3 linked regions of the Nothobranchius furzeri genome follow. The protein of the gene in region 3 purifies or fractionates together with the protein of the main gene of each other region. This does not show direct contact. Links are inferred from orthologs where the notes say so. Each region holds a gene or a part of one and is shown on either strand. Other genes may lie near its edges.

Region 1 (7,743 bases), on a different chromosome or scaffold from region 3:
ATTCAAGGAGCCCTGTTGAGGTGAGATCTTTAAAATTTTTTTTAACTTTAAATAAATAAATAAATTCACCAGTTTGTGTGGAAAGTTCCTGCAAGATTGCCACATTTGGATCAGAGTGACCACGGTTTGTTTTTTGTATTTTACTACACATCTGTTTTACTGTGTTTTCTTTATGCTATGTTCAGCACCTTGGGTCTGCTTGATTGGGGGTAGGAAAGGGCTTTATAAATAAACTTGAAAGTCATCTGTTGCATGATTTTTTTTTTTAATGTAGCACAAGCATCACCTGCTGTTGTTGAAACCCTTTGACTTTTGGAGGCGTGCTGCTGATTTTGAAGCAGTCGGATGCTTTTTAAGTTCATTCAGATTGTTTTATTTTTGTGTTTGCAGGCTGGCAGGAGATCAGAGGGCCAGGAGAGACGCGCGTCACGACAGCGACGCCGAGGATGATGACGATGTCAAAAAAGTAGGGCTGGGTGTCTTATTCCTCTATTTATATGTGCAGAACTCCATTAATTAGTTTCATTTATTTATGAAAGCATAATTTGTTTGCCTTTTTCACAATTGTACGTCGTCTTTTAGCCGGCGTTGCAGTCGTCAGTTGTAGCTACCTCCAAGGAGCGAACACGCCGAGATCTCATCCAGGATCAGACTATGGATGAAAAGGGCAAACAGAGGTAGGCCAACACCGTTCTTCAGCTCTAGATTTGCACCCAGGCCTTTTAAACCCTTTTTATAGAATATTAATCTTTTAAGTAGATAACCATGTAAGGAAAATTTAGAGAAATTGAAACATCCTTCTCAGGAATCGGCGTATGTTTGGCCTGCTGATGGGAACGCTGCAGAAATTCAAGCAGGAATCAAACGAGTCTTCAGATAAGGTGAGGGTGCTCCTGAGGTGGCCGAGGTCAGCCTGGATCATGTTGTTTTGGAGGGTTGTTGGTTTTTTTCTTCTTCCTGCTTATCGCTGACATCATCTGTTCACGGTGCAGCTGAAGAGACGCTCCGAGATCGAGCAGAAGCTCGAGGTTCAAGCTGAGGCTGAGAAAAAGAAGGTGGAGAACGAAAAGAGAGAACTGTTTGAAGAGAGGAGAGCCAAGCAGACTGAGCTGAGACTGCTGGAACAGAAAGTGGAATTGGCTCAGCTGGTGAGAAAATATTTTGCGTGCGTTTCTCAGGGTTTTTCCTGCGTTCAAATTTGCGTGGCGGCCGCCTCCAGCTAATTTGGTGCCGCCCCAGCCTGATTTCACTCTGCCCCCAGCTATATGGATGTTATTTTAACTGCAGTTGCACCACTACAGGGGTGCTGTATCCGCAGCGGTGCACCGAAAAGCACTAAAACCGCTGCTGACAAAGATCAAAAATTGTTTTTCTCGCTAGTTGGTACAGATCTGTGGTTGGTGCTATTCACGTCCTGATTCCCCCCCAGGCTCTTCCATATCAGAGCAGGGCTGTACAGGGGTGTCTGTGCGTGTCTGTCTATTTTTAAACGTAGCACTGGTGCAACATCTTTGAATTTCTATTTTCCCCTGAAACTTTATTGAACAAAAGTTACGTGTAAGAAAAATGCTTTTTACTGGCGCACAGTGTGGAAATCTGGATGCAGGGGAGGAAAATAAAGGAACCAGCAAAGGCAGAACCGGTCCAAAGTTTGGGATCAAAAGTGCAGCTACACGCAGATTGGCTAACGCTAAAGCTAACGGGTAGCAGTCTCACGATCAAGTGGCGCACGGATAAATATATGATGATGTAAAACTAAGAGACTAAACTCTACAAGCGGATGAAAAGTCCCCACCATCCTGTTTATTCTGCATCCTGCAGCGCTACGGATCAGAACCGCTGTAGATACGAGTCACATTACTGCTACAAGCCTACGGCAGGCCGTTGTAGTATATAATTCAGAAACGCTTCTATCTTTGAACATAATTTAATCTGGATTATTGCCAAGTCCCGTACATAATAGACATGCCACCGTTACATTGTTAGCAGCAGAAATTAAATGTTATTACCATTTCCAGCACAGATGCATGTTAATGAAATGCATTGTATTTTAATGCATATATTTATGTGTTATTATGACTAAGATGAGTGTTATTAATACAAACCTAAAATGTTACTTAAATGTAGGTCAAATATTTAAAATTATTTTAACTGTAAATATCAGATGGGGAAAAGGAACTAAACACTAATTAATGCATATTATTGAGCCTTTCATAATAAGAGTGTTATTTCAGCCTGATCATTTTGTTTTATTTCATATTTTTTAGCAGCAAACCTGTTTTGTTTCACTTGAAACGTCAAACGGAATATTCTGTTAACAGAAGCTTAGATTAAAACACTTAACGAAAAAATATTTGGCCTTTAATAAAAGTGAGGCAGTTGAATGCAGAGTATGCATGTGTTGGTGCACGGTCAGGATGGTAGTCAGGAAAAGCCCTGTTTCTGCTCTCCAGCGCTCACATATTTAAAAAATGGTTAAAACTTAAAGCCAATACTGCACGATATTAGGTAAACCTGTGATATTCGGTAATGATTAATATTGCGATGACGATATTACTTGCGATAAATAAAAACTTAACTCGCGAACAAAAATAATCAAAAACAAAGAAATTTTTAAAAAATCATAAAAATTAGAAAAGTAAAAGATGAGGAAAGGGAAAAAGAAAATGAAGAAAAGACGGTGGATCCCGGGAAAAGCAGAAAGAGGCAAAGCTAACTCGGGTGTTTCCTAACCATCAACATGAAGTGCCGTCCGCCTCGGGGGCGGGCATCCGACCAATGAGAACCCACCTGATTGGCCAAATGGGTGAAGAGCTCTATTTGTGTTGTTAAAAAAAAAAACATAATGCTTTCATTTGATTGACAGAACGCATCATGTGTAGCAAACATTTGAGCTGACCGTTCATTGCGATATGTATATTGTGCATGCTGATATCGCGATAACGATATATTTACGATATATTGTGCAACCCTAATCAATACGGTGCTTTGGAAACATCTGGAACAACAGACGGTTTCTGGTGGTGTTAAATAAGTTTTCTTGTGTCTCAAACAGCAAGAGGAGTGGACCAGCCACAACAATCGCCTGCTGAAATACATCCGCACAAAGACCAAGCCTCACCTCTTCTTCCTGCCTGGGAAAATGTGCTCGGCCACTCAGAAACTCCTCGAGGAATCCACCAAGAAACTAAATGGTCAGCTGGGTTTGGTGTTTTTGCCAACTATTCCAAACGAGTCCCTGCCACTAACGCCTGAGCTTTTCTCTCCAATCAGCTGTTTTTGAGGAGAGGCGTGAGGCATTTGCCGAACACCTCAACAAGATGGAGTCACGCCCCCGGCGACAGCCGAACCGCGAGCAGGACGCCAACATTGCTACAAGGACGGAGCGCCCAGCGGAGGGTAAGCCAGCAGGTCAGGTAGACAAGCGGACAGGTAAAAGGGGTGAAAAGGGAATGGACGAAGATGAGGACGAAGAGGAAGAGGTAGAGGTAGAGAAGGATGAGAGTAAAAAGACAACAGAGGGAGAAGGAACTAGCAATGTAAATGAAGAAGAGAAAGAAGTTTTAAAGAAAATAGAAGAAGATGAGGAGGAAGAGATGGAGGTAAGTCAGGAGGGGAAAGAGGAGAAAAAGGGGGAGCAAAAGGGGGAGGAAGGGGATGAGGAGAAGGAAGAAAAGGAGACAAGTCCACAGTCAGAAGAGATGGAGGTGGAGGAAAAGGCAGAGAAAGATGTGGTTGAGGAGAAAGAGGTAGAAACAGTCAGTCAGCAGCGGCTCGCGGAGCTCCAAGATGAAAAGACTCCAGGTGTGCAGATATCTGAAACAGCTGAGAGCAGCCAGGAAGCACCAGACCGCAGCGATGGGCTTGCTGCAGGAGAACCAGCCGTTCAGTCCCGGGGCACAGAGGCGGCTTCTCCGGCCCAAGAACCACAGGTGGCCTCCACTCCTCCTGTCCAGAATCCCACCACTCCTGGGTCCAACGACCAGGAGCCCACCAACGAGAGCCAGACAGTCGAAAGAGAGTCGGGGGAGGAAGCCCCACAAAAGCTGCCAGATTCTCAGGAGGCCTCTGGAGCCCTTCCTGTTGTCACTCCTGTGAAGGAGGGTGAGAAGGACGGCAGAGGGAGGAAGAAGGAAAAGGAGCAGAAGAAACGCCGCAGTCAAAGCAACAGCTCCTCGTCCTCTTCTGGATCCTCCTCCAGTGGAAGTTCCTCTTCTTCTTCCTCAGGATCCAGCCACTCCTCATCGTCCTCGTCCTCTTCTTCCTCGTCATCAAGCAGCCGCAGCCGAGACGGCGGCAAGCGGAAGCGTCGGCCATCGGATAGAGGTAGAAATGCAAAGAAAGGAGATGAGAGAAGTCACCATAAAAAAGGCGGGAGTAGTGGAGGTGGGAGGGACGTGAAGGAGAGGAGGAAGAGGAGCGATGAGGGGAAGGGTAGGTCTTCCCGGAGTGATAGGGAGCATAAAGATGGAGACAGGAAGGCCAAGAGACACTGATTTAAGCTTCTGGAACAACAAAACTGCAGCTGAGACGGGAGATTACATTTTAATCACATTTCTTTTAAGTAAACGACTTTTCCTCTCGATGTTGGAAGTTTTGAATGAAGCGACTCGTTGGATGTAGTTGGTCAAAGCCAAGCGGATTTCCCTAATGAGCAGTGGGTGTTTTACGTTGTAATGTGGATTGTTGCTGCACCTAAAATGTGATTTCTAACGGGAGTCTCTAGTGAACGAGTCCGAGCTTGTTTTTAAATCCGGGTTTCTTTACTTTTGTTTTAAGTCTGATTGTCCAGCATTAAGAGTGTTGATGCATAGAAACGGTCGTCTGGTTAAAAATGGTTCGTGCTGATCAGCTGTTTACCAGTCTGGTTCATGTCTGATGTGATCTGTTCAAATGTTTTGATTTGACTTTTATTTTTTATCCTGTAATCTGCTTCAAATAAACTTGAGGTATTGGCATAAATGTGTTTCCTTGTTCTGGTTGGACTTTCGGTTTTAAAATGTTAAATTAGTCGACAGATTAAATTTAAAATGTATGTTTTCACCAGAGATGGGAATAACGGCGTTACTTAAAAGTAGTTTTTTTCAGTAACGAGTCATTAATTATCATCTTTTATCATAACGCTGTTTCCGTTACTGTTGAGAAAATGCGTGCGCTGCTGATTCAGCAGCGCGGCGGTGAAGCCGACATCAGCTGATTGAGATCTAAAGAGGTGGCTGTTTTCATCCAAGAGCATCATGGCTCGTGAAGAACGAGGAATGTGACAGCGGGACGTCCCGAAGGTCCGCTCACCTGCTCAGACGTCCTGATCTTCTACCTTCCTAGATCATCCAGCTGTAACCTGTTTCTGATCACGTCTTTAGTCCCGCTGTAACACTGATGCATCAGTCTGAGACGTCATGGAGCTCAGGTGTTATCAGAGCTACCTGTGTGTGTTTACCACCCAGCTTCAGCTCTTCTGTGGTTGGGTCTGACCCACGTTAGTAAATGTAAGTCCTCCATCAGGCTTGTGCCTCTTCTAGTGTCATTTTAAAGGATTTTTATTTAACCATTACTAATTAGCAGCAGCAGAAATGTTGCTAAAAATACGCAATTATGTTAAGCTGGAAAAATTAAAATACTGTGCAAAATTACATTTCTGTAATTTAACTAGACTGAGAGACCATGTAAAGGCTCAGGAACCTTTACAGGTGCTTCTATTTGCAATTATAAATGTTAGCTGATTAGGGTCTTGTTAAATATCGCAGTGATGTTTTAGTAGTCTGGATTAGTGTAATGTTCCTGTTTGTCGTTCCTCCTGTTAAGTGCTTAATTATTGTTTTATAGAAAACATTTTATGTTCCAGTCATTTATATTTCATTATTGTTGAAATTTATAGTAAATGAAGTTTAAGAGGGGAACCCATTTCTCTTGCATTCTTTAATGAAAAAAGGTAATGAAAGTTATTTTTGTTGGTAATTAGTTACTTTTATAATTTTTTAACTCAGTAAGTAACTTAGTTACTTTTTTGACAAAATAATTACTTTTTAAAAGTGACGTTCCCAACACAACACTGGTTTTCACTAGTTCCATGTTTCCTGCCATTCAGGATGCTTGTAAAACCACAAAAGCAAACCAAGAATAAGAATCATAAATTTAATCCACAAATACGAAGTTTCAGCTTTACAAAAATATCACACACACACTTCCTCATACGAGTCTTGCTGCCACGAGCCACATCCCCTGGTGGTTCGGCTTCGTGTTTACTCCGGCTGGTCTGCCAGATCACTCTGCTCAAAGTATCTGCAGGAAAAACGAGAGGTGGTGAGTCGCAGGATTTCAGGCTCTAACTTCAGCTGCATTGTTGATTTTATGGGTAATGTAGACATTATTGGAGTCACCTAGCAACCAGACAGATGAGTAGGTTGAGAGCAGGCAGATTCTCATTCTCCTGACAATCCTGTTGGAAGAATTTAATCATTACAGACGTCACAATAAAATACGCCGTCAGAATCCTGAAGGACACTCGGGTTTCCATCATACCAGAGTGCTGCGGAGCTGGGCGCACCGTCTAGCCAGCTGTCGGATGGAGGAGTGCGCTTCAGGCAGCAACGGTTTCTCTAAGCAGGCCAGTAAAGCGTACAACCAACAACCCTTTTGGGAAAAGCAGCGTTAGGAATTTCATAATCAGGAAAACCAGGAACCTCATTCATCAAACGTCGACAGAATCTCCTGTATTCCGTCCTAAGAATGATATTTGAAATGTTGGTTCACACGGACAATCTCCTGATTTATGAAGCACGGCCATACTCGTGTTCCCTGGCAACCCACTGTGGAGAAATCCCACGTGAATGGCCTGCAATTGACATAGCACCTTCTAGAGTTTTACAACCCCCCAAGGTGCTTTACAACACAACAGACATTCACTCGTGCACAGAAACATTCACACACTGATGGTGATGAGCTACATTGTAGCTACAGCTGCCCTGGGTCACACAGACAGAGGCAAGGCTGCCGTACGCTGGCGCCACTGGTGTCTCCATCACCACCCCACCCAGGTGCCCGTGTGTTCATTCACATACAGAAACGCCCTCAGTTAACCATATTTGGTCACAAGAACGAGCAACAAGTAACTTTAACGAGAGTGAGGACCAAACGTTGCTGTTAGGAACGCGTAGATAAGTAATACCTTCGGTTTTGTGATTTCTCGGTCCTGTTTGTACACAAGAACAGAGACGTTCTTGTACTTAGGAACATTTTTATGTCGCGTAGATAATCTACATACTAGAATTTAACGCGGTTTGCTATCAGCTTGGCTAAATGCTGAGAAAAATCAAACAAATTAGCAAATGAAACTTATGTATAAATATCCAGGATATTTATATAATCGATAGAAGTTCATACACCAACGGGCTTGGTCTATATTTAATCCAAAGATTAATATTTAATTTAAGAGATTTAAATTAATAGCAAAAGTTTATTTATTAAATCGGAATATTTAAAGGAATCTTTGCTCGTTCAATAACCAAATTTACACCATTCTGTGTTTCATTTCAAAGAAGAGTCAGGTTTAAAAAGTTAAGAATTTATAACGAACAATTTAAAGATGACAATTTATAACAGCTTTGATATTAAAACTTGGTATTAAAAGCAAACCTGTGTCTGGATGAAAGCTAAAATGAAATGCGTGTGTTGGATGTGTGACTGGAATCTCAGAAGGTTTCTTTCAGAGAGAAACGCGTTCTGGGTGAAAGAGTTTGTTTT
Region 2 (7,585 bases), on a different chromosome or scaffold from region 3:
CTACTTACATGTAAATCTGTTATTTGTCCATCCATTTTCATCTGCTTATTCGGAGTCGGGTTACGGTGGCAGTAGCGTCGAGACTTCCCTCTCCCCAGCCACTTGGGCCAGCTCCTCCGGGGAAATCCCAGGGGGTTCCCCGGCCAGGTCCGGTAAGAAGTCCGCTCCGACAGCTTCTGGCGTTTTTAAAAAGTATCCCAGGGGCACGGTAAGGGTCGGAGATGTTTAGTCTATTTAATTTCTGACTATATAAAATGATTTCTTCGGTTTTAAAGTGTGAAGTAAACTCAGACGAAGTAAAATCCAAGCTGATCCCGTTCATGTTCATGTTTACGATCCGTGTTTGTTTACCTTTTTTGCCTGCCAATATGGTGTCTACTAACTGAGAGTCACGTGGGGTCCGGAGCTCTATAGGGATTATTACTCAAGTAAGGGTAAAAAAAAAGTATCTGATTAGAAGGCTACTTGAGTACTGAGTATCATCTGATCTAATATTTTTTAAAACGATGACATCAAACAGACAACAAATAAGAAGTTATGGGCAAATATTGGTATTTTAAAAACTAAAGGGGAAAATGTAAACAAATAAACAACATAATTATAAAATAACAAATTTTAGGCAAAATTTAGACACAAACTGAGGACATTCCCTGATATACAGGGTTTATTTAGTTGTCTGAAAATGTAACACGTTTAAAAAAAATACAGCGATAATACCGAAAACCGTGATAATTTTGGTCACAATAACCGTGAGGTTAAATTTTCACACCGTGACAACACTATTGTGGAATCAAACATCTGTAGTGATGAACTGAATCGTGACGAAGGATCGCTCTGGGGAACAGTAACTCACTTTGGAGGAAGGTTGGGGGGTGAACGTGGTTTCAGCTTTTCCTCTTCCTTCTTCTCCCTGGCTTCTCGAGGAGGACGGATTCTTGGCCTCTCCTTCTCGTCCCGCTTCAGCCGATCCCTCTCCCACTCTTCTTTCCGTTTCAGCCTCTCCTTGTCACGCTCCCGTTCTCTCTCCCTCTCACGCTGCCGCCGCTCCCTCTCACGGTGATCTCGTTCTCGCTCGCGATCTCGATGGCGCTCTCGAAGCTCACGTTCTCGCTCCTGCAGATTAAGTCAACAGTGAAAAATGACGAAAAAAGACATTTTTGCCTCAAATCTGTTTAAAGTTTACAGCTGGAAGTCGCTTTCTACGTAGATGATATCTGACACGCCTCCTGCTGCTACACATGATTTATTTCAAACAATATTTTTTCACAACATTAACTACAAAAAAAGGGATGCTGAGTTTTCCGCAGACAGCAATTAAGACACATGAAACAGAAAATGTCATTTTATCACGTGAAATGACAAATAAAAACAATATGAGGATTTATTTATGAGTTGGGCGGCTTCGGCTTTTATTCGGGAAACTCACAGCGAAGTGGTAGGGAAGAGGAGCTTCTGTGTACTGAACCCGGAAGTTCTCATACTGACCCCCCCGCCACAAGGCCTCCATTTCATAGTCGTAGTACGGGTCAGCGTAGGCGTCACTAGAGAGGAGAAACATGGTTCAGAACGACTCTAAAATAAAGAAAAGTTACATTTGTTTTCATGACCAAAACAAAAACTAAACATCAAAACTTTAAAAATATTTAAATTATTGAAAAAACTAAAGCAAAAATCCCATTTTTATTGGATCCTTCCAGAACCACGACCTTATAGGTAGCCTAAGTAACTTCCGCATCACTGGTCCCCGGAAGAACGAAAAAATGAATGCAAGCCAACAGGGTAAAAAACGCTATTTTCTAGGGTTGCACAATATATCGTGAATATATCATTATCGCGATATCAGCATGCACAATATGCATATCGCAAAGAACAGATAACTATCGCAATGAATGGCCAGCTCAAATGTTTGCTACACGTAATGCATTCTGTCAATCAAACGGGAGCATGATTTTTTTTAAACAAATCAAACAGAGCTCTTCACCTATTTGGCCAATCGGGTGGGTTCTCATTGGTTAGATGCCCGCCCCCGAGGCAGACGGCACTACATTTTGATGGTTAGCAAACACCTGAGTTAGCTTTGTTTAGCTCTTTCTGCTGATTCTGCTTTTCCCAGGACCCACTGATCGCCTTTTCTTGTTCAATTTCTTTTCCCCTTTCCTCACATCTTTTGCATTTCTCATTTTTATGATTTTTTTATTTCTTTGTTTTTGATTATTTTTGTTCCCGAGTTAAGTTTTTATTTATCGCAAGTAATATCGTCACCGCAATATTAATCACTGTTATCGAATATCGCAGGTTTTCCTAATATCCTGCAGCCCTACTATTTTCTAATTCCGCTTGTTTTGTGCCATGGATTTCACATATGATGTCCGTGAATCTTAAAGACACATTTTGATACCAAGAACACGCTTATTTTCAAAACAGGGGGTAATGCCATTTTAGGTTTTGTGTGAAAATAAGTCCAGGACTACAAATGCGCTTCACGAAAGTGATGCCATCAAACCAGTAGCTTTTGCTCAAAAAAACAAAACAAAAACCTTTGCTTAAATAAAATACCACTATGATGGGCACCACAGGGAAACGAAGATGAGGCTTCTTTTTAACACTTGAACTGTGCTTAACACGAGCCGTTAATACGTCACTACCAAACTACAAATACAAAATTAAACAAAAAGAAAAATCAGACTTTCTCTTCCAGCAAACATATTTGCTGTGCTTCTATAAACAAAAAAAAATCAGTGTTTGTACTTCTACCGTGTTCCTATATCGGTCCGTGCATCATGACGTTGCTCAAAGAGTCACATGCACAAATAAATCGGCCATCGTCATTTACAGGACGTAGGATTGTTGGTGGGAAAAAGCGTACAAATCACCCAACCCTAAAATGAACATCCCATAACACAGATGGTCTATAGAACTCAGGTTAAAGTTATATTTACTCATACCCATAGAGAGGATCTCTGAAGTCCACTTCACTGAAAGAGAAAAACAAAATAAGTTGAATAAGTATTGGTATTTATTATTAATTAGGAAAAGTGTTTTTTCTCTAAGGGAAACATGACCCGTGCCCACTTTTTACGAAGCCGACTCAGAACCACGACCAAAACAGAAATATTCCAGGCTGGTCCAAATTAGGGATGCACAGATACCGATACTGGTATCGGTATCTGTGCAGATACCAATACGATACTGGTATCGGTATCGGTAAAAGTTAACCGATACCAGGAACCAATACCAATGCAGCTTGCTTGAAAATGGCTTCACTGTAATTTGTCATTTTTGTTCACCTAATATTTTAGTTTTGTGATGATTTCTATTAATATATTTTACTTTTTATCCACCTCACAGTCTTTTCCTGTTGAAAGCAGAGAAGAAAATAAAATCTGTATTCCAAATCATTGCATTTTTTTGTGTGGTAGAAGTATAGGTATCAGTAATCGGTATCGGCAAGCATTCAGATCCAAGTATCGGTATTGTATCGGTTTGGAAAAAAAGTGGTATCGTTGCATCCCTAGTCCAAATGTCAAGTAATCACATTACAAATGGATTCCGACCCAGACGGAGTAAATATTGTGATGGTAAACGGGTCTTACTCTCTGATGATGCGGTAGCTTCGCTCTCTGAAGAACTCGTTCTCTTTGTCAAACTCTCGCTCGTCCTCTCCAATCGTCACATTAAACCGTTTCTCCTCAAAGTCTGGCTCCTGCTCCTTTCGGATGGTCGCCTTCTTCAGCATCTGACAGCAACAGAAACGAAACAGTCTTAAACACAGATGAGTCTTTTTAAGCTGGGCGGACACTGTGCGACTTTTTCACTCGTAGCACTCAGCTTCAGCTCAAACTGTACGACTTCCTGGCAGGGCAGATCTCACGAGTCATGCGCTCACACTGTACGACCCAGTTCTCGGATGCGACCTGACTGCTCACACTCTACGTCTGGTAGCAACACGTCGGACCTAAAAATATGCTAAAAATAGCCGTATTTACACAACACGTGAGACTTTTTTGTCTTGCCTGTTGTCCTTCGGGAGTGCTGCAGGAGGACACACAGGGATTTATGGGGGTTGGATGAGGAAAACAAAAAAATAAAATAAATCTGTGTTTTGTGATCAGTTTAATTTGACACGAACACGACAAACACGCTTTCTTGACAATCTTTGTGAGTAAAAAAACATTTAGAAATAAAAACGAACAACGTGTGTTATTAGGGAAATAGCGGGCGAGCGGTGATGAAGCATGATTACGCATGCGCCGTGAGCGGTTCTGGTACTTTTTGGGTCGCAGCTGCTCACAGCACTGCTTCAACAGTGCGATACCCTCACGAGGGACGAGCAAAACATCAAACACGCCAGAAGTCCGTGCAAGCTCACGATTGCTGATCGGTAGCTGGTCAAGTGGTGTTAATCGCCTCTCGTAACCCCCTGTACACTACACGACGCTCAGCGCAAAACTCGCCCAGATCTCGTGGATTCTCGCACGAGTGGAAAATCGGCTCAAAAAAGTGAAAAAGTCGCACAGTGTACGCCCGGCTTTACAAGGATCTACAAGTGGTTTGATGATAATAAAGGATGGTTTATGCTACGCATTCGCGATGTCCGCGCGGAAAAGTTGCGTCATTTTGCGTCATCTTAACAACCACGCCTCCGCACGGCCCAAAATTTCCGCAACGCGCACCTAGGAAATTTTCTAACCACGCGGACGGTCGGACGCGGAAAAACATGGCGGACCGGCAAGAACTAGTATGGCAGAGGTTCGTAAATACAGACATTTGTATGCTTCAGCTCTCAGAGATCACCGTGATCAACATGTTGTTAATAATTCCTGGAGAGAAATAGCTCGCGCTGTCGGAAAAGACGAGGACGCTGTTAAAAATGCTGGAATGCCATGTTGTAAACAGTAATTTCTACTTCTACTATGGTGTAGTGTTGGATGCATGCCGTAGAGCTCCATGCTGCCCCCTACAGTTTGGGAGAATATTGGCTCACCGCAGAGACAAGCCGGCCGCATGAACCATAAACGCTGCGAGTTGTGAAGCGCGTTCCAGCCGCGAGCCGCATCACCAAGCGGAAAGTGAATGCGTCAAGCATAAACCAAGCTTGATGAAGGTCACAGGGGAAATCTGTGAGTTCTGCTCATCAGGCTCGTTCAGTTTAGCTTCTGTGAGTGGGGAAATGAGACATCTTTGGGAGGGGTTGGGAAACTGATTGCAAATGAAATGAGAATTTTTTTAAACAAATAAAAGCCTGGTGAGGCACAGTAACATTAAAGATCTAAAAGCTTCATAAATGAGGCACAACCGTTATAAACATGGAGTCACTGTGCCAGCTTTAGTAACTAAAGAACAGGCAGCTGCAGAATTAATGCTTCTCATTTGTCTCATAAAACACGAGAGTTTTTAGATGTCGATAAAAAGGTTTTCATAAACAAACATCAGCTAACCGGGGTAGGGAACATGTCCTGGACAGCTGAACGGAAAAGGTGACGGCACAATAAACTTGCAAATGCAGCGTTTCCAGGCCTATTTCCATCTGGTGTGAATGCGTGACTGAATAAACATTTTAACAGCAGTTTAATCAAACTGGGAGAGCGTCGTCCCAGTTTGATTTGCATGGAGAACAGAGAGAGAGTTCACCTCTTTAGCGTGCCTCAGCCCTCGTTCCCAGGCGCTCTCCACAGGAGGTTCCACAGGGGGAGGAGGTGGAGGGAGTTCCTCCACCGCGGGGGCCGTCTACGACACGGAAACAGACATTTATGGTTTTCAGGTTTCAGATAAACAAGGGAACCCAGCCCCTTGTTGATATTACAGATGACATTCATGATGAGTCACTCCAGCAAGACTCACCCAGGGGTTGTTGGGGAGGAGAGGGTGCGGTCCACCAGGGGGCGCTCCATTGGGTGAAAAAGGGTCCGGCTTAGTGATGAGAGAATAGTTTCCTTTGTCGTTGACTCCGGGATGGATGAACCTGCAGTTCATACCCCAGGTACAGTTTCCTGAGAAGAGACGGAATAAAAGCATACTCCAGGTGAGAGAGCTGCATGAGACCGGAGGATCAACCCAAACTTGTCCATAGGCAAGCAGAAAACCGGAAATCTTCATACAATCTTTAACTTTCTAATAAAACTAAAAATGTTTGCATAAAAACTGGTCTGCAGCAGCGCTCTGACCAGGTTCTGCACAGATGCTCTGACTGGGTTCTGGTCTGCAGCAGCGCTCTGACCAGGTTCTGCACTGGTGCTCTGATCGGGTTCCGCAGCAGTGCTCTGACCGGGTTCTGCAGCGGTGCTCTGACCAGGTTCTGCACTGGTGTTCTGACCGGGTTCTGCACTGGTGTTCTGACCGGGTTCTGCACCAGTGCTCTGACCGGGTTCTGCAGCGGTGCTCTGACCGGGTTCACTCTGCAGCAGCGCTCTGACCGGGTTCTGTACTAGTGCTCTGACCAGTTTCTGCTCTGCAGCAGTGCTCTGACCGGGTTCTGCAGCAGCGCTCTGACCAGGTTCTGCACTGGTGCTCTGATCGGGTTCTGCAGCAGTGCTCTGACTGAGTTCTGCACTGGTGCTCTGACCAGGTTCTGCACCAGTGTTCTGACCAGGTTCTGCACCGGTGTCCTGACCGGGTTCTGCACCGTGCACCGGTGTCCTGACCGGGTTCTGCACCAGTGTCCTGACCGGGTTCTGCACCGGTGCTCTGACCGGGTTCTGCACCAGGGCTCTGACTGGGTTCTGTACTGGTGCTCCGATCGGGTTCTGCAGCGGCGCTCTGGCAGGGTTCTGGTCTGCAGCGGCGCTCTGACCAGGTTCTGTACTGGTGCTCTGATTAGGTTCTGTATTGGTGGTCTGATCAGGTTCTGCAGCAGCGCTCTGACCAGGTTCTGTACTGGTGCTCTGATCGGGTTCTGCAGCAGTGCTCTGATTAGGTTCTGTATTGGTGCTCTGATCGGGTTCTGCAGCAGTGCTCTGACTGAGTTCTGCACTGGCGCTCTGACCAGGTTCTGTATCGGTGGTCTGATCAGGTTCTGCAGCAGCACTCTGACCAGGTTCTGTACTGGTGCTCCGATCGGGTTCTGCAGCGGCGCTCTGGCAGGGTTCTGGTCTGCAGCGGCGATCTGACCAGGTTCTGTACTGGTGCTCTGATCGGGTTCTGCAGCAGTGCTCTGACTGAGTTCTGCACTGGCGCTCTGACCAGGTTCTGTATCGGTGGCCTGATCAGGTTCTGCAGCGGCGCTCTGACCAGGTTCTGTACTGGTGCTCTGATCGGGTTCTGCAGCAACGCTCTGACTGGGTTCCTCACCATCATTAATAACAGAAGTTTGTGAAGCAGCAGACTTTGTGACACAAATAGTACGCCTGTTGTGTCAAAGGAGAACTGTGGAAAAGAGGAAGCAGAGTGAAAACAGGCCAATGGGAAAAATGACGCCACGACAGAATCTGATCTGAGGTCTGATTGGGTCATCATGATTTGACGTGTTTCACAAAGACCCGTTAGTGTGAAGGCTTTACGGTGCTTTCAGAAAGGAAGTGCTCTGGGCTCGATGGGCGAGTTACACCCAGAACACAGGAGAAACGTACCTTTGTACAATACACCTATT
Region 3 (7,996 bases):
GTGTGTGTGCGAAATTTGTTCTCCGCATTTGACCCATCCTCTGGGGAAGCGGTGAGCTGCAGACAAGCCGCGCTCGGGAACTATTTGGTGGTTTAACCCCCCAATCCAACCCCTTAATGCTGAGTGTCAAGCAGGGAGGCATTGGGTCCCATTATTTCAAAATCTTTGGTATGACCCGACCAGGAATTGAACCCCTGATCTCCCACTCTAAGATGTTAGACGTCACCTTTGTGGAAAATCAAACACACACCAGCACAACGGTGGACGTGTTACGAAGCGGGCCTGCTTTGCTCAGACTCAGCCATGAACCTGTCTGCAAACCAAAGTATTAAATAATCAATGTGGGATCATCTGAGGCTTTTGTCACATAAAAAACTATTGCAGAAAGAAAAACAATAATTACTGCAACATTTTATAAAAAAATAAAATTCAGCAAACATCAACTGAATAAAGTTTGCAGAAATGTCTTACAGAAGAAAATTACTTTGATTTGCCAAAAGTTGTCATATGAGCTCTTTTTCACAAAATACATACACTTTACAATGAGGGCCCCTCATTAACGATACTTGGTGCATTAGTAAGCATTAATTACCTAGTATTAACAACTGCTCAACCATATTAAGTAATGTATTACTTAGCAGACACCTCTTTTGGCCTCTTGTCCTAACCTTAAAGACACTTAATTGTTAACAATACCAGGAACGTTAATAAAGGGAACCTTTGTTTATTAATGCTTAATAATGCACTAAGTAACACGAATAAAGGGGGACTCTTTGTAAAATGTTACCAATACATTTAACTCACTAACATATCAAATCTGTTGCAAATGTGATATGAAATCCTTAATTAAATGTAAAAGTAAATACCTTGACACTGGTTCGGGGTTTGAATATTTCTAACGCACAGATAAAGTTTTTAGATGCCTCTATCGCCCTCTAGTGATCATTTTACGGTGATACCCCCAGCTGGTAGCAGAGCACCAGCCTGACCTCTTGCTCTCATGAATCTGAAGGCCATAAATGACTTGTTTGGTTACATATTCAGATTAAAGGCAGCCATGTCCTCATCTCTTCATGTTGAGATTAAAGCCAGCATGCTTTAGCGTGCCAGATGATTCTCACTGACACCTTCACCGGTGGTTATCCCACTACAGCCTACATGTCTTTACAAACCCCTTGAGGTTGACAGCCCATCAGCTCCGATCAGAAGCCTTATTACCAAACTCTGCTCCACTCAAGCACAGGGAGCTCTTGCATCACTCTTCTGCTTTCAAATGGGAGAAAAATAGGAGTTTTTTTCTAAACGAGACTCCCATTATGCTTTTCAGGAGCTCAACACAAGTGCAATCATGTAATGGAGCGAAGCACCAGAGTGGGAAATAGTGAAAATGGAGATTTCACTTTTGATGCTGCAAAGTTCTTGCAGCCTTGATCCTTTTTACTGTGAGTACGAACCCTCATCAAACATGTTTTCATCTTTATGCACTTATTGAAGCGGAAGTCTGATTTTTCTGTTTTCACACAAACTGTAACATTTGGTAACTACTTCTTATGATGAAACTTACCCATTGAAATCTATAGGATTTTGGTGAAACAGGGGGGTAAACCCCGCCCCCTTTTGGAGCTCTTTTCATTTCATAATGGAAAATATTGATCAAAGTTGTGGGCCTCTACATGACACGAACTGGTATTTTTCACTTATACCGTCAGTTTGAATTTGATGGGTTTTGATCAGAACGTTCGCAGCTGATTGTTTCAACTTTTGCAAACTCTTCTTACCCCTGCAACATTTTCAGTAAATGCAAATACTTCAAAATGTCGACATTTTTATCTCCTTTCACCACCGTGTCCCTTACTGCTATTGGACTTTGTCATTGTCTTCTTCTGGTCCCAGAGCACTGAGAGTTTTCACCCAAACTTCAATTGACCTTAATGTGTGCATCAAAGCATTTTAAATGATTATTTCTGATTATAATCAATTTTCATACAGGCTGAACATGAAAATAGTCTCCTACACCTATCTGCTGCATTAGCTTCTGACAGAAAATAGACGGTGACACTCTGACTTGAAAAGCCTGACAGCATGACTGTGTGAACACTCATGGACTCACCCATCTTGACTCAACGATGGAAGGCTGTTGTTGGTTAAGCATCCAGGAAAAAGCAGATAACATTTCGACTAGTAGAAGCTAACCATTAGCATTAGCAACTCCACCACACAGCAGAACTCCTCCAGGGTTGTTATTTGTGGGGATAAAACATCCATGTTGCAAAATAAAGCCTACTACTACCAGAGGCAATTTATTTTGATCTGTCTTCTGCAAACTTGATGTAGTTTACACATTCTGTTCTCTATTAAATTATGATTCTTAGAATTTCGGCATTAGGAATCATTAAAAAGCTTTTCTTTCTCTGTGTTTTATTCAATAAGACCGATCAGGGAATATTGTTCATTATGAGGTCTGAAAGAAAAACAAGCAAACAGCTGTTTGTTTACAGTAGGAAACAATTTATTACTAAAAAGCTGTTTTATACTGAAGGTGCTCTTTCAGTAGCGTTTCCACAACTATTGTTTATTGTAATCCACAAGATTGGTTTTACCACATCATGTAAAGAAAAAAAAACATACGTGAAGGAAAGCGACTTTAGACTGTATGTACACAACATTAGAGGAGAGTCACGGGTGTGGCATCGTTTGGTGTTTAACACACCAAGCTCAAACAGGAGGCACTTAAATCTGAGAGCCTTTAGAGCCAGAGAATTGGACGAGGGGTTAAAAAATGAAAAAAAAAAAAAAAACAATAATTCTACCAGTTTTAAAAATCTTAATCAGAAATGCACGTTTTTCTTTCAGATCAGGTTGTGACTGCAGTTATGGAGCTTCAACACAGGGCTGCACCACATTCAAAAGCATGCATCATCCCACTATGAGCAATGTGGTCAGAAAAAAATGCTGCACTCTGACCTTTCCTCGTCTGCTGCTTGATTTAGTTGATGCAACAGACTCGTCAGTATTTACAGGAATCATAGTTTCTTTTAATCACTCCAGTGCCATTTAAATTAAAAAGTAACTGCATTTGATGGTATGAGGGGAAGTATACAATGAAAAACAAAATCAAAGCGTGTAACTCAGAATGGCTACTATCTCAATGATCTATTTACAATAAAACACAATAAAGAATCCATTAGAGTCCTGCTGAAAGAACAAAACTGGGTGAGATTCTGAAACAAGAGTTCAGAGGTTTGCTGCTTCGCTCCAGAGCTGGTTTAGTGGTCGCTGCTGTCCTGTCCGCTCTGGGAGGGTCTCAGATCTTCTCCTGTATAAAGGGGTGCTGCAGAGCCTGGTTTATGCTGATGCGTTTAGCCGGGTCCAGCATCAGCGTGCCCTCCAGCAGGTCCTTCAGCTGCATCACCTTCTTCCTCTGGTCCTCGGGCAGCCGCTGGCCGCCGATGAGTTCAGACAGCAGGTCTTTGGTGGGGTTGATGGTGCTCATTACCGTCACCTTTTCCTGGTGAACCAAAAAAAAAAAAAAAAAGTCAAAGTTAATAAAAAATCACTTTAATATCAGGGAAACAGAATTTAGAAGACCTTCTCACCCTTTCAGTCACTTTGTCTACTTCAATGTAGAGGAAATTCAAGTTCTGGTCGAAGTGCTGGTCTTTGAACAAACCTTTACGAATCATCTGAAGAAACACGACAGGAAGTTGCATCACGCGCTGAACAGCAAACACGATGTGAAATGATGCGAGCTTACCTTGTTGGGCATCTTGCCCTTCAGGTCCATCGCCAGCTTCAGCATGTGATTGTTGGAAGATCCGGGGAGCAGGATCTTCCCGGTGTACAGCTCATACAACGTGCACCCCACCGACCACATGTCGATCCCGTAGTCGTAAAGCTTTCCTATGACTGAGGGAAACACGCTCGGAGTGAAGCTCAGGCGAAACAGAAACCGAACAAAAGGAGAAAATTTAAACTTACTGATTTCTGGAGCTCTGTAAAATCTACTGACAAGATACGGTGTGATGTCATTATCAGCCACATGTGAGGCTGAGCCAAAGTCACAAAGCTTCAGAATGGTTTTAGACTCGTTCACCTTGAAAGAGGACCAAACATAATGATGTTAAACACACGCGGCTGTTGTTCTGAGCACTCTGGAAGGTTGACTTGTGTTAGACCGCACCAGGATGTTGTCTGGCTTGATGTCAGCGTGGAGGATGTTGCATCGCTTCAGCAGCTTGAGCGCCAAGAAGAGCTGCTGGCTGTAGGAACGCACAGCTTTGATGTGGAGTCCAACGTCTTTACCGTACTTCTTCAGCACCTCTCGCAGATTCATACTACGGGTGAGACGGGCAGGTGGTCATCAGATAAAAGCTGCGGTGAGAGATGTAAACAAAGACGGTTTCTCCTGGGTACCTGAGCGGCTCAAACACCAGACAGAGATGCTGCTTGTGGTAGAAGTGTCGGAAGAGGCGAAGGCAGTGGAACTTATCGTCAGGATCGGCATCGTTTAGCTTCCGGAGAAATTCTAACTCCTTCAATCCCGTCTTCTGCCTGTTTACCACAAACATGAGCGTTAGAGAATTAACAAGATCTGACAAACATTTATACAGGCCGTGTGGATGGCTGGACCCACATGAGCTCGTTGTTTCGGATGATCTTGACTGCCACCTCCTGGCCGGCTCTGGCCGTGTCTCTGGCTCGGATCACGTTACTGAACACACCCTGCCCCGTGTAGCCGTACACGTCGTAGCGCTTATCTAAAGTCTCGCCGATGTTTACTCCTGAACAACAACACAAACAAACCACAGGGTTACTATGGGAGTAGAATGTAAAGCACTGGAACCACCAGGGAGGATTTACTGTAGTATCCTTCTGCATCGGTCCAGTTGTCCCTGAGGTTTGGGTTCTCCTTGAAGTCCTTTCCCACGCCGGCTGCTCGCATCCTGGCACTCTGCAGAGGCAACAGAAAAAAAGGACATGTTCCTTATCGTCCAGTGTTTCAATCGCACCCTTTTGGGTTAATTAACATTATAATAGAACAAAATAGCACCAGGATGCCACACGGGTCCTTACTTACATCAAAATGAGCAGCAAACATGTCGTCTGACTCCGTAAACATGTCGGGGGCCGAGGGCTTCTTTGGGTTGGCTCCTGGAAAAAAACAACAAACAGCAACCAGAGAGACAGGATGAGATCCGGGGCTCACACACGTCATCCTAGAACAGTAAATCTGGAACATGTGTTTGATTCACATACTGTGCAGAGATCAAAACATGCTGCAGGAGGCAGACACAACCAGGCTTTGGAATACAAGCCAGCAACTGAATGAACACATGACAGAAGAAAAAACAAAATTATAACCCCTGCATGACAAAAGTGCATTTCTCACACAGTCCTCTACTTCAACGCCGCTCTGGTGTCACAGGCTGCAGGGAAATGAACTCATTTATTGTTCATTCAGCGATCGGATGAAACTTGATCTGCTCTGGTGGCCGGAAAAAATAATCTGGAAATTTTCAGATTGAAGGTAAAATTTGTGGTTGATAAAAGGAGAGGAGCCCATCTGGAGCTTTGAGCTGAACACAGATGCACGTGCTCATCAGCGGCAGCTGTGGTGACTCGTGTCACGGTCTATAAACAGAACCGTTTGTAGCTGCGTCCTTGCTCGCTTACAGGTGACGGCGCGGTTCATTCAGTTGGCCTTGTATGCCAACAGGACTCGTTATTTAACGGGGACGTTACCGTCTTTCTCCTGGGCGATGAGGTTGTGCTTGGCTTTGATGCTAGCCTCGAAGGTGTTGACGTTCTCGCGTTCATACTCCTTCACATCTGCGGCCACTCGCTCCAGGATGTCGTCGGGCGAAGGAGAGCGGCTCCGCGTGCTGCTCTGAGGGCTGCTGGGCTCCGACACCATGTTGGTGTCTTCGTTCAGGACCTTGTATTTCTGGGTTAGGGAGGAAAGGTTCAGAGAGGGGACTCCATCTTTATCTGTGGTTGTAACCAAGATGGAGACCAGACCTGGACGATAGCCATGCGCTGCTGGCGCCGCTGCTCGATGAGGGCTTCTTCATCTATCTCCTCACCTTCAAAGTCCTCCAACCTGAAAAGAGCCAAAGTCACGGAAGAGAAATGATATCTGGTCTGGATGAAAACATTCACACAGCTTTTATAAGTGATAAAATATCTGATTTGATCGCTTTTTACGCACACGTCTTCTTCTGAGGACTCCTGGTCCACCTTCATCCCTTCCGACAGGCTGCCCTTAAACTTATCTTCATCTCTGCTGCGCCTCCTCCTCCTCTCCCGGTCACGAGACGTGGAGCGTCGGTACTGGCGGAGCCGACCGTACCGGTCTCTCTCTCCTGATCTGTAAGTCGTTCATTTCAACGCGGATGAATAATCTCATCAGAACACTAAAGATTATGTCATCAGTTCCAGTCTAAAGCCACATAACAGCGTCACCATCACCTGTGTCTGAGCAGAGACCGGCTTCGTCTGCGGGGGGAGGAGCGGGAGCGTCGCCGTGGTGATGGGGACCTCCTCCTCAGAGGGGAGCGACTGACACGGCGGCGAATGGCGGGCCTAGGACTCCTTTCCCGAGACCGGTCTCTGGCGGGCCCAGCGTCAGGTCGAGGCCGCTTCCTGCAGGATCAGAGGAGAACTCTTTCATCCAATGTCGTCAGAATATTTATTTTGTGTCTTCCTCACTTTTTAATTTGTATTTTAACGACTCGTTTCAACACAGATTGGTCCCACGAAGCAGTATTCTGACCCTAGGCATTAAACCGAACACAAATGCTTTGTGGGTAAACAGATAACCACCTAACGATGAAGCAGCGAGTGACGAACCTGAGGGGTGAGTCCTGCCTGTCTGACTCCCTCCTCCTGAGGTCCGGTGAGCGGCTGCGGCCCCTTCTGGGGGGAGACTTGGTTCTGGACGGAGAGTGGTTCTGTTTTGACGTCCGCTCGGAGGCGCCAGTCGACACATGGCGACTGTCTCGGTGACGAGGAGAAGCACTGCGTTTCCGTGGAGGGCTGTGAGGCCCTCGTCTGTGAGGGGAGCGGTTCTCTTTCCCCAGCGAGGCGTCCTTAGACGGAGACTTGGCGACCCGTTTGTCCCGATCTGCATCTGAGCGGCTTGGCCGTTCTCGTACTGGTGACCTGGACCGTCGACTTGCTCTGTCCTGGTTTGGCCTGTCATCTCGCTGTGGAGAGGAACGCTTATCAACACGATCGGCTTTCTTCTCGTTCTTTAAGTTGGAAGGAGAACTAGACTTCCGTCTCTCCTTGGGCCGATCAGTGCTGCCCGAGCGTTTTTTGTCCTTAGACCTGCTCCTGCCACGCCCTCTGTCCTTAACGCCCGCGTCCTTACTGCTTTTGGTCCCTTTGTCCTGCTTAGACTCCTTGGCGGGTTTCTCTGCAGACTTGCTACGACGCTTGGAGCTGGACTTACTGACCTCTGTTGAGTCTCGCCTCGATTTCCCACTTTTCCCCCCTCTTGGAGAGATGGGTTTACCTGAGCTGCCCCTCAGACGCTGCTCTCCATTCCTGAACCTGGCGTCTCCATCCTCTTCAGACCCAGAGTTGTAGCCCTGAAGAATCAAACCCATGCCAGACTGAACCTTGCCCTCCATCAGCTGACTGTCCAGTTCAGCTTTAATCATGGCCCTCTGTTTCTCCAGGTCCTCCAGCACGGCCCTGTCATCCAGACTGGGATTCCCAGAAGAGGGAGACGACTCCACCTTCTTGTGGGTGGAGGAACCAAAGAGGGCGGCAGCAGACGGGGAGGTGTCCTCTTTGCGTTTGTGTTTCCTGTGTTTATGACGATGCTTTCGCTTACGGTCCTTGTCTTCATCAGATACATGTTTGTGTTTTTTGTGCTTGCTGCGATGCTTGTGTTTTTTCCTCTTGCGTTTACCACTACCGCTGTGATGTTTGGACCCTTCATCGACCTTCTCAGTATTTACAGCTTCCTCCTGGAACAAAAAAAAAAGAA

What was found. Proteins that work in one complex are often made in the same cells at the same time.
Region 1: the proteins of prpf4bb (region 3) and pnn purify together in Homo sapiens (affinity purification with mass spectrometry; 5 studies listed by BioGRID and IntAct, counting the BioPlex papers as one, with this or other methods). This does not show direct contact. The link is inferred for Nothobranchius furzeri from reciprocal best matches to the Homo sapiens genes PRP4K and PNN.
Region 2: the proteins of prpf4bb (region 3) and zc3h18 purify together in Homo sapiens (co-immunoprecipitation; 4 studies listed by BioGRID and IntAct, counting the BioPlex papers as one, with this or other methods). This does not show direct contact. The link is inferred for Nothobranchius furzeri from reciprocal best matches to the Homo sapiens genes PRP4K and ZC3H18.

The regions. Positions count from the first base shown.
Region 1 is NC_091758.1:40,472,858-40,480,600, forward strand, and holds the end of pnn (pinin), read left to right. Parts: coding exon 1-20; intron 21-390; coding exon 391-466; intron 467-582; coding exon 583-677; intron 678-805; coding exon 806-881; intron 882-992; coding exon 993-1,148; intron 1,149-3,055; coding exon 3,056-3,194; intron 3,195-3,273; coding exon 3,274-4,496; 3' UTR 4,497-4,817; downstream 4,818-7,743. Other genes in the region: gemin2 (gem-associated protein 2), read right to left, coding at 6,243-6,282, 6,381-6,439, 6,523-6,633. UniProt on the Homo sapiens protein: Transcriptional activator binding to the E-box 1 core sequence of the E-cadherin promoter gene; the core-binding sequence is 5'CAGGTG-3'. Capable of reversing CTBP1-mediated transcription repression.
Region 2 is NC_091744.1:81,982,097-81,989,681, forward strand, and holds part of zc3h18 (zinc finger CCCH domain-containing protein 18), read right to left. Parts: intron 5,991-7,585; coding exon 5,842-5,990; intron 5,728-5,841; coding exon 5,632-5,727; intron 3,737-5,631; coding exon 3,594-3,736; intron 2,976-3,593; coding exon 2,946-2,975; intron 1,542-2,945; coding exon 1,427-1,541; intron 1,114-1,426; coding exon 854-1,113; intron 1-853.
Region 3 is NC_091747.1:44,850,878-44,858,873, reverse strand, and holds the end of prpf4bb (pre-mRNA processing factor 4Bb), read right to left. Parts: intron 7,977-7,996; coding exon 6,850-7,976; intron 6,643-6,849; coding exon 6,469-6,642; intron 6,368-6,468; coding exon 6,209-6,367; intron 6,101-6,208; coding exon 6,019-6,100; intron 5,945-6,018; coding exon 5,743-5,944; intron 5,152-5,742; coding exon 5,078-5,151; intron 4,952-5,077; coding exon 4,861-4,951; intron 4,782-4,860; coding exon 4,634-4,781; intron 4,552-4,633; coding exon 4,414-4,551; intron 4,335-4,413; coding exon 4,181-4,334; intron 4,094-4,180; coding exon 3,979-4,093; intron 3,907-3,978; coding exon 3,755-3,906; intron 3,684-3,754; coding exon 3,597-3,683; intron 3,509-3,596; coding exon 3,305-3,508; 3' UTR 3,085-3,304; downstream 1-3,084. UniProt on the Homo sapiens protein: Serine/threonine kinase involved in spliceosomal assembly as well as mitosis and signaling regulation. Connects chromatin mediated regulation of transcription and pre-mRNA splicing.